Caenorhabditis elegans: one gene and its partner. The protein of the gene in region 2 purifies or fractionates together with the protein of the main gene of each other region. This does not show direct contact. Each region holds a gene or a part of one and is shown on either strand. Other genes may lie near its edges.

Region 1 (5,697 bases), on a different chromosome or scaffold from region 2:
AAGAATAGAACTGGTATAATGGAGTTTTAGCTCCACAGTTTCCAGAAACAGTCGCGCAAAAAAAGGATGGAAGTCCCATGCTGGTGTAGTTTGGGTAGAGAGCTTCATCCGATGGCCGGAGCATGATTAGAGTCACTGAAAAATGGGATGAAATTAAAAATGAGGTGCCCCTTGATTGCGGGCCTACCAGGCGCGCCTATCTTGTAGCATTTCTGTACTGCTCTACTTTTACGGCTGATATCTCGGCTGCCTTAAGTTCTACCAAAAAATATTCAACTGTGAAAATGTAGAAAAATGTTTTGCACGTTTTTTGTCAGTTGGCCTATTTTTGATAAAACTTAGGAGACACAAGATAAAAGCTGTCAAAGTTGATGTCACGTGGTGTCAGAGTGTTCCATTTCGGTTTGATCTACGTAGATCTACGAGAATCGCGGGAATTTAGACGCAGAGTTCTCAACTAATTTTGCATGGTTAAGAGCGTAGTGACGTCACATTTTTTGGGTAAAAATTCCCGCATTTTTTGTAGATTACGTCTTTCATGGGACAGCCTGACACCACGTAAGATATCCCTTTTGAGGGATATAAAAGTGCAGAAAAATGCGCGTCTTTAAATATTACTGTATTTTCGAACACTCGACCGATATCTCGAAGCTGCAGAATTTTCATTGATTTTTTATTTGTTTTCGATAAATTTTTCTCATGTAACACAAACTTGTCGCCTCGAGACCGGGTACCGTATTTTCTTTCTCAAAAATTGGACATACATTTGTCAGAATCCGTCTTGTAATAAGCTGAAACAGATGTAAGACATGTAGATGTGCAATTGGTTGTAGCAGCTGATATCGCATAAGCACTCTAGAACTTTTTTTTTTAATTTAACAATTAAAATTATTTAATATTCCTAACCAATTCATATAAAGCAGTAGCTGAAGCATTTCCATACGAGAAAGATGCACCACCATTGACCAAAAAATGACTGTAATACGCTGAAACTTATCAAGATAACTTGATTTTCTGTTCAATCAAATATTTGTTCTTACGATCTCCTTCAGATCCTACTTGATACTGAGTCAACGTTGCCAATGAGCTTGCTGAAATAGAATCAGTGAGTAAAGTTTCAAGTGGTGTCAGAGTGCTCCATCTCGGTATGATCTACATAGATCTACAAAAAACGCGGGAGCTGATTTCGTATGGCTAATAACGTGCTGACGTCACATATTTTTGTGCAAAAAATTCCTGCATTTTTTTGTAGATCAAACCGTAATGCGACAGTGTGACGTTTATTATAGAATTTCTCACGAATTGTGTCCGAAGTACATTGCGAGTTGACTTTATTGATATTATTCACTAGATTAAATATTAGAAACACCAATGAGAAAACCAAATTTCTCATTGGAAATTTTTTTAAAGTGAAGGCATTCTGGAAGAAAAATGCCGATGGGCTGCCAGTCTCTAGGCGACGATCCGCTGGTTTCTAAGCGACAAATGAATAATTTTAACGATCGTGTTTTGTTGTTGTGAAATTGGAAACATCAGCATTAAATATTCCAAATTTTTATTCGAATTCTATAAAAAAGTTCCGAATTCATAAGGAATCGACAGTTTATTCACAGATTCTTCAGCTTTTCGTCGTATTTCGTCCATATTTCCATGCTCAATTGCAAGACGTTTGACGTCACGATGTTGTCGTTTCTCTTCAGCTTCGTGTTGCCGAATATGAGCCTGAAAAAAAATATATTTAAATTTTTCCGTTGAACCAAGAATATTCGATGCTTACCGCAAAATATGGAGCTCTTTTATACTTTTGATGACAAATTGGGCATTGGAAAAGAATTGGCTTCGGCAAACACCCGTCCTCGTGGCGTTCCAAATTGAATTTCCGAGAGAAACGTTTGAAACAAGTCTGAAATATATTTGGCATATTAATTTTGGAAAATTACAAAAAAACTAACCCTACAACAATAATCTTCAGTATCTCCTAAAAGTTGAGCAGCCGTCCGGATTCGCTTCGTTTTTGTTTCAGAAGATGTTGAAGGTGTTTCCTTTTCATAGCGAAGTGCAATTACTCGTTTTGTGCGCGGCTGAAATGAAAAATAAAGTTAAAATATAAATATTTTCAAAATATGGGGGCCACTATGGCCAAATTCATTGGTGGGCGGCAATTGCCGTTCGGCAAATTCGGAAAATTGCCAATTGGCCAGAAGTTTTCAATTCTGGCAATTTGCCTATTTGCCGAAAATGTTCAATTCTGGCAAATTGCCGGGTTTGGAGGAAAATTCAATTTCGGCAATTTGCTGATTTGCCGGAAATTTCAATTCCGGCAATTCGCCGATTTGCCGAAAATTTCAATTTCGGCAATTTGCTGATTTGCCAGAAATTAAAAAATCACTTAAGATTCAATTTTTTCCATTTATTTTCAGAATTAAATCCAATTCTTACCAAAGAAACACTATATCTAACATGTTCTGTATCAGCTGGATGGTCTCCGGGCAATTCGACGATATAAGGTGTTTCGTATTTCTCACGATTCATCAATTCTCGATTGAATCTCGATTTTTGATCCAAAACTCCTCGGATAAGCTTTCCATCTCTTAGAATATATTTTTATTCCTTTTTTGTTTTTAATTTTCAGTGAGTACCTTGAAATCGCCGTGATTAGAAGTTGAAATCGTTCCAGATGCTTCGTTGTTACGATTTTTCCACCTTCACCGATAAATTTTCTGAGAATTTCTTCTCGAAAACCCGGCAGCAAGTCCATCTGGAATTGAACCTAAAAAATATTGAAAATTTGAAAACCAATTGAATACAATATAAGTATAGATCTGAAAACTTCATCCATTCATAAATAAGTACTAAAACTGGAGAGGAATTGGTGGGGTACATTTTATAGATGAATTCTACGAATGAAGTTGATGAACTTTAAAAAAAAGATAAACGGCAAACAAATAGAGAATATTGCAAAGAGAATTATCGTAAAATTCAATGTTACAGACCTTGGTTTAAGGAAGAAGTTTTAAGACAGAAATGATGTAAGAATCGGGAATCACTGATGATGAAGGAAAATTGATGAAAACGGGGCGGAAGGGCGGAAATCACAGTGCATGAGACTACACTTCAGGCATATTGTTCATTGGATCCTGGACTAGCGGGGACATGAGAATGGGGGAATAATTATTTGGAAATAATAATGATAATAATGTTAAAGATGTTGTAAATCGGTGATCGAATCACCATTCAGCTTCTCCGGTACACTTCTGGAAGCAGTAATCCTTTTTGTCGATGTGCATAATTCCATCCTTGAGCTGGAACTTCCACTTGGTACGGGCACGATTCACCTGAAAATTGCAAGATTCGACAATTTAACTTATAAAATAAATAGAATTAACCTTCTCGAACTGGCACATGACAACATTGTCCGCCTCGAATAGCATCGTCAAATCTTCATCGTCTGATTGATCATCTTCAGAATTCAATGGTTCCTCTTCTGCCACTTGATCTCCATCTTCAACTTCACCATTTCCCATGCGATCAGCGATTCTTCGAAGTGGATCATCATCATCGTCAGGCTCATCTTCACTGGAAGAATCAGACATTCCACCGCCACCTCCGTCGAGTTGAAAGTCTTTCAATAGTGATCCCAAGACTTTCATCGCTTTCTTCTCACTTGCTCCACTTCCACGGACTCTCAATGAGCACTTTGTCTTTTTTGGAGCAAGTTTTACAGGTCCACTAGGTCCTTCTCCGTCTGATTCGGATCCCACATTTCCGTCCATTTGATTCATATGGGTAAGTTGATTGCCCTGTTGAGGCTGCTGCTGCTGAGCCTGTTGTGGCTGTCCTTGATGAATAATTCGATGCTGTGGAATCTGATTCGGCATAATCGACATTGGAATATTCTGACCATTTGGTTGCTGCACAACGAACACTTGTCCCGGTTGAAAGTGAATTCCACCTTGAAATTGTGGATTGAACATGCGAACTTGAGATGGATGTTGCTGAAAAACGATGGTTTAGTTTTGTGGTTTACGTAGGAGTCGTGCAAGATTCTTGACGATTTTGAATGTATAGACCCAAAATGGGCTAAAAAAAACGAATTTCATAATGAAACTGCGAAATTTTTGAAAAATTGCACTGATTTCAGCTAAAATCTCGAATTTTTCCCTTTTTCCGTGTCACATCTGTCTGAAATTGAATTTTTTGGAATTATCATCCCTATCATTTAATTTCATCGATTAAGGTACATTTAAAGCCTGTCGGTTACCTATCGGCTTTAAATGTACTTTAATTGGCGAAATTACATGAGATAAACCACCCAAATCTGCAATGAAGGATGATAATTTCAAAAAAAAATCAATTTCGGACCGATGTGACAGGGAAAAAGTGGCCAAAATTCGAGATTTTTGCAGAAATTAGTCAATTTTTTGAGCAGTTTCGTTACGAAATTTGGAAATTTGTCCTGCTGGAGTATTAGTCGCATTTAAAAAAAAACAATAATTAAATTAAATAACCGTTGGCTGGCCAGTGTACGCCATTCGAATCGGAGCATCTCCAATGTGTGCTGCGTGAAGAGCCGACAAAGCTCTCACTGGCTGCTGAGCAACGGGTCTCTGTGGAGGCATCGGATTCGGACGAACGGCACTCGGCGGTACGTGATGCTGTTGGCGTGGTGCCGGTGGTGGTGCATTGCTCTCCAAGTCGACACATCCACTCGAATTCACTTTATCCTCCCATTCTTTCCTGAGTTGAGATAAAACGTCGACGTCGATGTTCTCATCGAGAAACGCTTCTTTCATATTGGCGATAACATCGGCCATAACCGACTTGTACAGCTCGGCGATTCCATTGCCGTGTGCCATGTTGGACGTTTGTCGTTCCTGTTTTAAAAAAAATGAATAGATAAACTTTTCCGAGATTTTTCGTCTGCGACACTTCCAACCATGTTCATTTCATAAAAACCCCCATTAAGAGTGGCAAGAAACAGGTTTCTCGAAGCGGGCTAGTCAAAATGAAAAAAAAAATTGAGAAAAATCGATTTTCCAACGTGACGTTACGTTCTTAAATTTGCGTAGACGATTTTTTGAAGAAATTATTATTATATGGTGAAATTGCAAAAAATATGACTCATAATCGATTTTACATACCTTCTTCAAAAAAAAAATGTTTTTTTCCAATTTTTCACATTTTCAACACGCATTTCATTACAATTTTCATGTTTTATACCACACACGGGGCCCTCTGATCACAGAAAGACACACTCGAAGAGAGCGAAAATTCGACTCACCAATCTGGCAGCAAGCAGCGACGATCGACTGAGTATATATACGCCGCAGCGGGAGGGGTGACGTCAGCGACCAACAGTGATGTGCAGGTTGTCGACGAGCGCCAATTCAAACAGGATATTTTGTTGTCTCGACGCTCTCGAATCTGAATGAACTATAGCGGTTGAAAATGAAAATAGAATGGGAAAACGGCGAGAGAGAGGAAACGTTTGCGGCGGCAGTTTCGAAATGGAGAAAAGGTACGCAAGCATCACAATTGACGCGAAATTGCGGAAGTAATTTTTGTTTGAGCTTGTGGATCGAGACCCGAAGAACTCGGGGGATGTCCAATTGGGGGGATCACGGCCTCCCGCACGAGAAATGCGCACACTCTCTCGCTTTTTGTTTGCGCGTTTGCGGACGACCACCTTGCCTCGCC
Region 2 (7,111 bases):
TCAGAGGAAAAGAATCTTTCAGGAATAAGTCAAGTTCCATAGCTCAACCTTATTTTTCTAGTTCTTACCCTTTTTCCTGCCAATCACCAGACTTGGTTATTAGTTTTTTTTTCTTTGGTAGACCTGATCACCGGAAATGTTAACCGCCAAGTGTTGTACCCGGACATTTTACTGATAAATTTGTGGTGTATTTTATAGTTTTTGTTTTTTTGATATGCCTTTCTTAGTAATTTTAGCGAAAAAAAAACAAAAAGGACCATTAAATGGACTGAGCTTGTTTTTAATTTCTGGATTTTAAAATTAAAATTTCCCCCGCTAAACGGCGGAATAAGCGGCTCAATTTCGGAGCATTGTTTTTATGGGTTCAAAAGTATCATTTTCCCTTTTACCCGAGCTTAACCTATATTTTTTTTGAATTATTCACCATATAATTAGTGTTCATAGAAAAATAGATGTGTCTCTAATCAGATTAGAATTCAAAGCTTCTTTAGAAAATGTGAAACGTCTTTTCAATGCAATGTTTATCGGTTTTTTTTCAAGATGTTTTTCTTCGGGTTAGTGATCTTATTGGGTTTTGATTTATTAGTTTTTTTCTTTGTGAAAAATAAAAAAATATTGTACATTTAGCGGCGGTGGGAATTATTTTTCGTGGGTAGATAGGAGGAGGTGGCAGTTGTTTTGATAGGAAGTCGGTGTTCGGAGAAAAAGCAAGTCTTCGAATTAATTGGAATAATATTTTTATTATTATTGTACATGTTTTACAACATGTGGTTAGTTTTGGAAAGTTTTTTAAACGAAAAAGTAATAAAATACGTGTTTTTTTGTGAAAACTTTTTAATTGTTTCTATTTTTCGATATTGAAAAACCAGAAAAATTAGAAGTTGAATTTCCCACTGAAATGTTGAAAAAAATTAAACTCAAATTTTCAACAGAATTTTTTTTAAAAGGGAAATTTCAAAAAAATTTCTTTGAAGTTTCCTAACATTTTAAAAGATAATAAATGTATTTAAATGAGGTTCGATCAAAATTTTTTGTTGAAAAGTTAAACTTTGAATGTCCCGCCAAAATTAAAATTAAAAATTTGAATTTCCAGCTGGAAAAAATGCAAAATTTGAATTTTCTGTAAAAAAATTTAAATTAAAATTTGAAGTTTCCGCTAAAATGTTTTAAAATTTTCAGCTAACTTTTGAGAAATTGAAATGTCAGTAACAATTTTTCAACAATTTTTTAATTTCCAGCAAAATTGAAAACAGATTATTTAAAATTTATTTTTCTGGAAAGTAAAATTTCAATATTTTTTTCAAAATTTTTTTCAACATTTTTACACATATATTTTTAAAAATTGGCAAACCCTGCATAGAGAATACACATCAAAAAGATTACGCAGGTTGTTTTTTTTTTTCCAATATCAATTTTCGCAAATATATACAATTAATTTCTGATTGATACAAAGCATGTATTTATGATTTGATCTTAGGAATTTCGGCCACCTGCAGGAATTAGTGTCTCAGAATTTTGATTAGAACAAGAAACATTTGAAAAGAGAATGTTCTTTGGTAAATTTGGATCACAAGCCCACGCATATTTTTCAGACATTTTCATACTAGTTTTCCCACAGCCAAAATGGACACCTTGCAAAGATATTTTCAATTTTTTTTAATTGATTGCTATCTATTTTGCCATTTTTTGCTTTTGCCCGTCTTCACTGGGCTTTGCTCATTTTGAATTCTGAATTCTTAGCTTCTATGTCGTAATTTTGTACGATCAGAATCCTCAAAATGTTGTACTATTTTTTCGGTACGTTTTAATATCAAAACCACAATTTTTTGTTCTCGATAGTGTACCCACCGTATACTTCTATATACTTCTCCAAATTCTACTGAGGGTTTCTGTTTCGGTTTTTCTTTCGGAGGCATGCTTCATAATTTCATAAGTTTCTCAGTGGATTTTTTAAAAATTTGTTTTAAATAAAATATTCCCACTATAATTTAATTAAAAACTGAAAAAAGACCAACGTATTTTTTTAAAAATTAACATTTGAATTTTTAGCAAACATTATAAAGAAATATATTTTTAATTTATAATTTTCAAAAAATTTCGAAAATTTTTCATTTTAATTCGGGCTAGAGTAAAATGTTTAAATAAATTTAAAACCATTTTTCCACTACTACCTTAATTTTTTAAATATTAAATTTCTCACCGAAATTTAAAAAATGTTAAAAATGCATTTTTCTATCGAAAAATTTGAAAAAAAAAGCTGAAATTCGATTTTTCCGCCAAATATTTAAAAAACATATGCTCCAAAGTTGTTCTTTTTCTGTATTTCTGATCTTCAAAATTTTATAAATTTTTGTACATATATTTTCCCCCTAAATCGTAATATCCCAACTATAATTTTCGTTCTCAAAAAATCGTGCCGGTAGTAGGCAGCCATGTAGGCACGCAGGCAGGCATGCCGAGCCTAAATTCATCAAAATTATCAACATTTTTCAGATTTACCAAAATGTACCTCCTGAACCCCGGCTCTATGTATAAACTAACAGTAATGAATATGACAACAGCTGCAATAGAGCAAACCGATGCAATATTCCGAGCCGCATTGATTTTCGAGTGGATCCTTATCAGTATAGGCTTCGGGGAAACTATGCTTCTTTGGTATTTGCTCCGATATACTAACCAGTACCATCGGAACTTGGCGATGATCGTCGAGCAACTCCCCAATCAATATTTCCCGTCACTACTGGCAAGAATGTACATGATATATAAACAGTTGACGATTTCTAATACAGGTATGGTTTGATAAAAAATTAAAGGAATTTTTCACAAATTTTGGGTATGGGAAAGTTGAAAAATAGCATTTTAATTAGTTGAGAAGAGTTGAAAAATTGGATTTCAAAAAATTGAAAAAAAAATTGAATAATTCTAACTTTCAAACAATTCTAACTTTGTTTACAAACAATTCTAACTTTTCAAACAATTCTAACTTTTTAAATTTAGCAGGTAGCAAAAAGTTGTCTACTAGCACAATGTGAGAAATTTAATTTTCTATGTTTTATCAGTGAACAACTTTTTGATAGCTCACATGTTTCTTGAGATATCTGAGTTTTACAAAAGTAATCTGCTCCAAAATAATTTCGAAAAAAAAATTGAAATATTGAAACTAATTACCTCAAAAACTAGTGTAGTAGGCCTAAATTGTCAACTAATAAATTATATCAAATTGGTTTTCTATATTTTGATAATACTAGTTTTTTGATAGTATCATGTAGTTTTTGGGATAAATTCGAAAAAAAGAGAAAATTTTTTTTGACGTTAAACAATTCTAACTATTTGAATTTTGCAGTCAGCAGAAAATTGTCAATTAATAAAATCTAGCAAATAAAGCTATTTATATTTTATACGTTGACACCTTTTTTATACTTCACACTGTTCTTGAAATACCGGGGTTTTTAGAAGTGTACCCACTTAATAATTATGGTGAGAGACTAAAATATTGAAACTGGATTATCTCAAAAACTAAAATAGATATCAAAAAGTTACTAACTGAATAAATGTAGCAAATTGAATTCTCTATATGTTGTAATTAATAGCACTCTGATATCTTCAATCACAACAAAGTTATGGCAATTAAAAGAACAAATTTCAGCTGATCTAATCGAAGACCAGGGCTTCCTTTTCGCAGTTTGGCTCCGAAATTCTCTACTTTTTGTGGCATTTTATTTTGCTCCGTTTCCAGTTATAGAACGATGTTTTGCAACTTTGTACATGCACGTGAGTGTTTTTTAACCCAAAAAGTGCTCTTATCACCTTTGTTTCAGGACTATGAAACAAATAAACGGCGATGGATATCGTATCTTTTGAGTACAATTTTATACATTTTCGCGATAACCTCCGCGCAATTTTTCATCTTTGGGTCTTCAAATCGCGAAATTCACATTTTTCTGATTACCGGCTTCAATTTGATCGCTTTTGGGGTATATTTTTAACTGCATTTTTTTTGTAAAAAATTGGTGATTTTCAGTTAACATTTGTCATGGAGCGATACAACAAGAAGAGGTACTCGAAATTGCGGAAAAATGTAAATTCCGACTATTCGTTGAGTGTGAGAGCACAATTATCGGAGAATATCAATAGTACTCTGGTGAGTTGTACATAAATTTTTTCCGCCTTGCCTGCCTCGCCTGCCTCCCCCAATTGCCCCCAAATTTGTAAATTTTCCAGCCGTTCAAAGTGATGTGCTTCTCGATCGCCTTTTTTGCCTCGCTGTGCACTTCTATGCTCCACGTGGACGAGTGGACCGAGTCGCAGACGATACGAAATTGGGTTTATATGGCTTTCAATTTTAGCTGCTGGTCGTATGGTACTTTGGTACCATTCTTCATGCTGGCCTACAATCCGCTGTGGCAGAAGGAGTTGAGACGATTGGGAGGAAAGGTAAGTACTGTAGGGGTACTGTAGGGATACTGTTAAGGGTACTATAGTGGTACTGTCGATTTCTCTTGGGGTACTGTCAGAGTCCCGTGATTGTATTGTAGGGGTACTGTTGTGGTTTTGTAGGGGTACTGAAGGGACACTGTCGGGTACTATTGGAGTACATAAGGAGTCCCTTGAAAGTAATGCACGTGTACTGTAGAGATATTGTTGAGGTACTGTAGAGGTACTGTAGGGGTATTGTATGGGTACTGTAGGGGTACTGTAGAAGTACAACAGGGATGATTTACCGCTCTTGTACTGTAAGGTAGCTATAGGGGTACTTTAAGATCCTTGTATTGGTACTAAAGGAGTACTGTAGGTGTACTGTAGCTCTACATAATTTACACTTTTCCAGTTCTGCTGCTGCCTATGCCCGGCCAATCGAATCGGAGCCGACCAGACTGGTCGCAAACGGCCACCCACAAAAGTCAAAGACACTTTTGGCAAGAACTGCAACGTGGAAGACGCGGAGCACACGACAATCTATTTCTCACAGCTCAACGCCGACTGGAATGCTCCCACCGAGCAAAAAAAGCGACGGGAACGGAAAAACGAGAGGTTATCAATTTCCGATGCTCAAGCTCAATCTGTTATCACTTCAAGATCGATATCCAATCATTCTGTTGTTATTTGATTTCTTTTTTTTTGAGATATATAAAACAAAACTTAAAATATCGTTATCAAGAGGTGTATCCAAAGAGTGAGTAATCTTTTGAGCCAATATTTGCTCAGGGCCCGCCGAGGTGTCACTATATTTATGGCCGTTCTTGCAACTGGTTTTGTTTTTTTTTTGAGAAAAAACCGTCTAGGTTCCTAGGTGCGTAGGTACGTAGGTGCCTACATGCCTTCATGCCTACATGCCCACATGCCTACATGCCTACATGCCTACTTGCCAACATGCCTACATGCCCACATGCCTACATGCCTACATGCCTACATGCCTACATGCCTACATGCCTACATGCCTACATGCCTACATGCCTACATGTCTACATGCCTACATGCCTACATGCCTACATGCCTACATGCCTACATGCCTACATGCCTACATGCCTATATGCATACATGTTTGCATTCCTTCATGCCTACATGCCTACATGCCTACATGACCACATGCCTACATGCCTACATGCCTACTTGCCAACATGCCTACATGCCCACATGCCTACATGCCTACATGCCTACATGCCTACATGCCTACATGCCTACATGCCTATATGCATACATGTTTGCATGCCTTCATGCCTACATGCCTACATGCCTTCATTCCTACATGTCTACATGCCTACATGCATACATGTTTGCATGCCTACATGCCTACATGCCTACCCCCGAACTTTGCTCTTTTCTCATCTATTGTGCTCTTTTTTGTGACACACATTTTGGCAGATTCGAGGGGTAGTACTTGTGCAAACACTATCAATATATCAATTACCTATTGGCACTTTGCTCATTGAGCAATCAATTCATTTATTTTAGTTTTGTTGTTCGGTGACACTTTTTTCTTAATTTTTTGAATCTTTTCAGTAGGGCTTCTATGTAAAAACGCCTACCAAAACGCCTGCCGTGCCTTCCTCGCGCCTCCTGTATAGTGTGGCGCGGAACCCAAGAAGTGTCGGCCGCGGCTTGTCGCCATAGTGTAGGCGAGAGACCGGCATGAGGCAGGCATGTTGAAGGCAGGCAACAGGCCCTGAAACCGCGCCTGCCTCCCATGGAAACCCTAATTTTCAGCACGATATTTCAGATGACACGGCCAGATTCTATAGAATTGGATAGTATTTGCGAAGCAGGGGATTCCATGGATGATTTGAGGGTGAGTGAAGCTTTGGCCAGAAAATTCAGAAAAAAAAAGTCACATTTTTAAAATGTTTCAAAATTTACTAATTTCAGGAAATACTATCACATACTGAAACAACTCCAACTCGAACGCTTCCAACGAGATTTGAGAGAATGGCCAGTCAGATGACTTGCCCTGTAATTTCAGAAGAGGCTAGCTTTGGTGGGTTATAACTATTTTTAGATGATAGGTGTGAAAAAGTTGTCAACTGACAAGTTGCAGGAAATTTTGTGGGTAATATTTTGTAAATTTAAAATGTTTTGATTGTGAAAAGAATTCCAAAAAAAGTTTTTTTGGACATAAGGCTTGAAAAACTTTTTAAAAAATATTTCTTAATTTCATCGAAACCTTCCTCAATCAAAGAATATTTTTTGCGTGTTTCATGTTTGGAGTGCTCTTTTCTCTATGCTCGAGGGATCATGTACGACATGATATTTGTGTTGTCTTTCCCCCTCCTTATAATATTGACCATTGAAAAAACAGGTTCTTTTCGTGTGCCAACCGATCTTTCGGCTTCTGCCAAAAAAATGGCCCCTTTACTTGTGTGTCTGCTCCTGTTCAACGGAGTACGTCATTTTTTACACGTATTACTTTTTTTTACCAAAAAAAGTGAAAAACCTCGGAAATTTGAGGTTTTCAAATAAGTTTGGCTGGAATTTAAAATTTTAATTTTAATTTAATTTTTTTTGTTTTAATTCACACAAAAACCCATCCCGGAGGTGCATACTTTCTTTGGTCAACATTCAGTTTTTTTTGTTTCAATTCGTTTCAATTGTGGTATCGTATTGTATATGAAAACAT

Evidence for each region.
Region 1: the proteins of sre-5 (region 2) and K11D12.12 fractionate together in Caenorhabditis elegans (co-fractionation; one large-scale study listed by BioGRID). This does not show direct contact.

The regions. Positions count from the first base shown.
Region 1 is NC_003283.11:5,049,334-5,055,030, reverse strand, and holds K11D12.12 (C2H2-type domain-containing protein), read right to left. Parts: upstream 2,771-5,697; 5' UTR 2,759-2,770; coding exon 2,640-2,758; intron 2,591-2,639; coding exon 2,440-2,590; intron 2,082-2,439; coding exon 1,953-2,081; intron 1,904-1,952; coding exon 1,778-1,903; intron 1,723-1,777; coding exon 1,567-1,722; 3' UTR 1,541-1,566; downstream 1-1,540. Other genes in the region: cwp-4 (Coexpressed With Polycystins), read right to left, coding at 1-135, 765-855, 907-986, 1,041-1,091, 1,300-1,393; pqn-51 (Prion-like-(Q/N-rich)-domain-bearing protein), read right to left, coding at 3,228-3,335, 3,387-3,995, 4,509-4,856.
Region 2 is NC_003282.8:3,562,708-3,569,818, forward strand, and holds sre-5 (Serpentine Receptor, class E (epsilon)), read left to right. Parts: upstream 1-2,493; 5' UTR 2,494-2,503; coding exon 2,504-2,789; intron 2,790-3,646; coding exon 3,647-3,771; intron 3,772-3,818; coding exon 3,819-3,974; intron 3,975-4,021; coding exon 4,022-4,141; intron 4,142-4,221; coding exon 4,222-4,434; intron 4,435-4,828; coding exon 4,829-5,107; 3' UTR 5,108-5,147; downstream 5,148-7,111. Other genes in the region: otpl-1 (Otopetrin-2), read left to right, coding at 6,272-6,286, 6,364-6,472.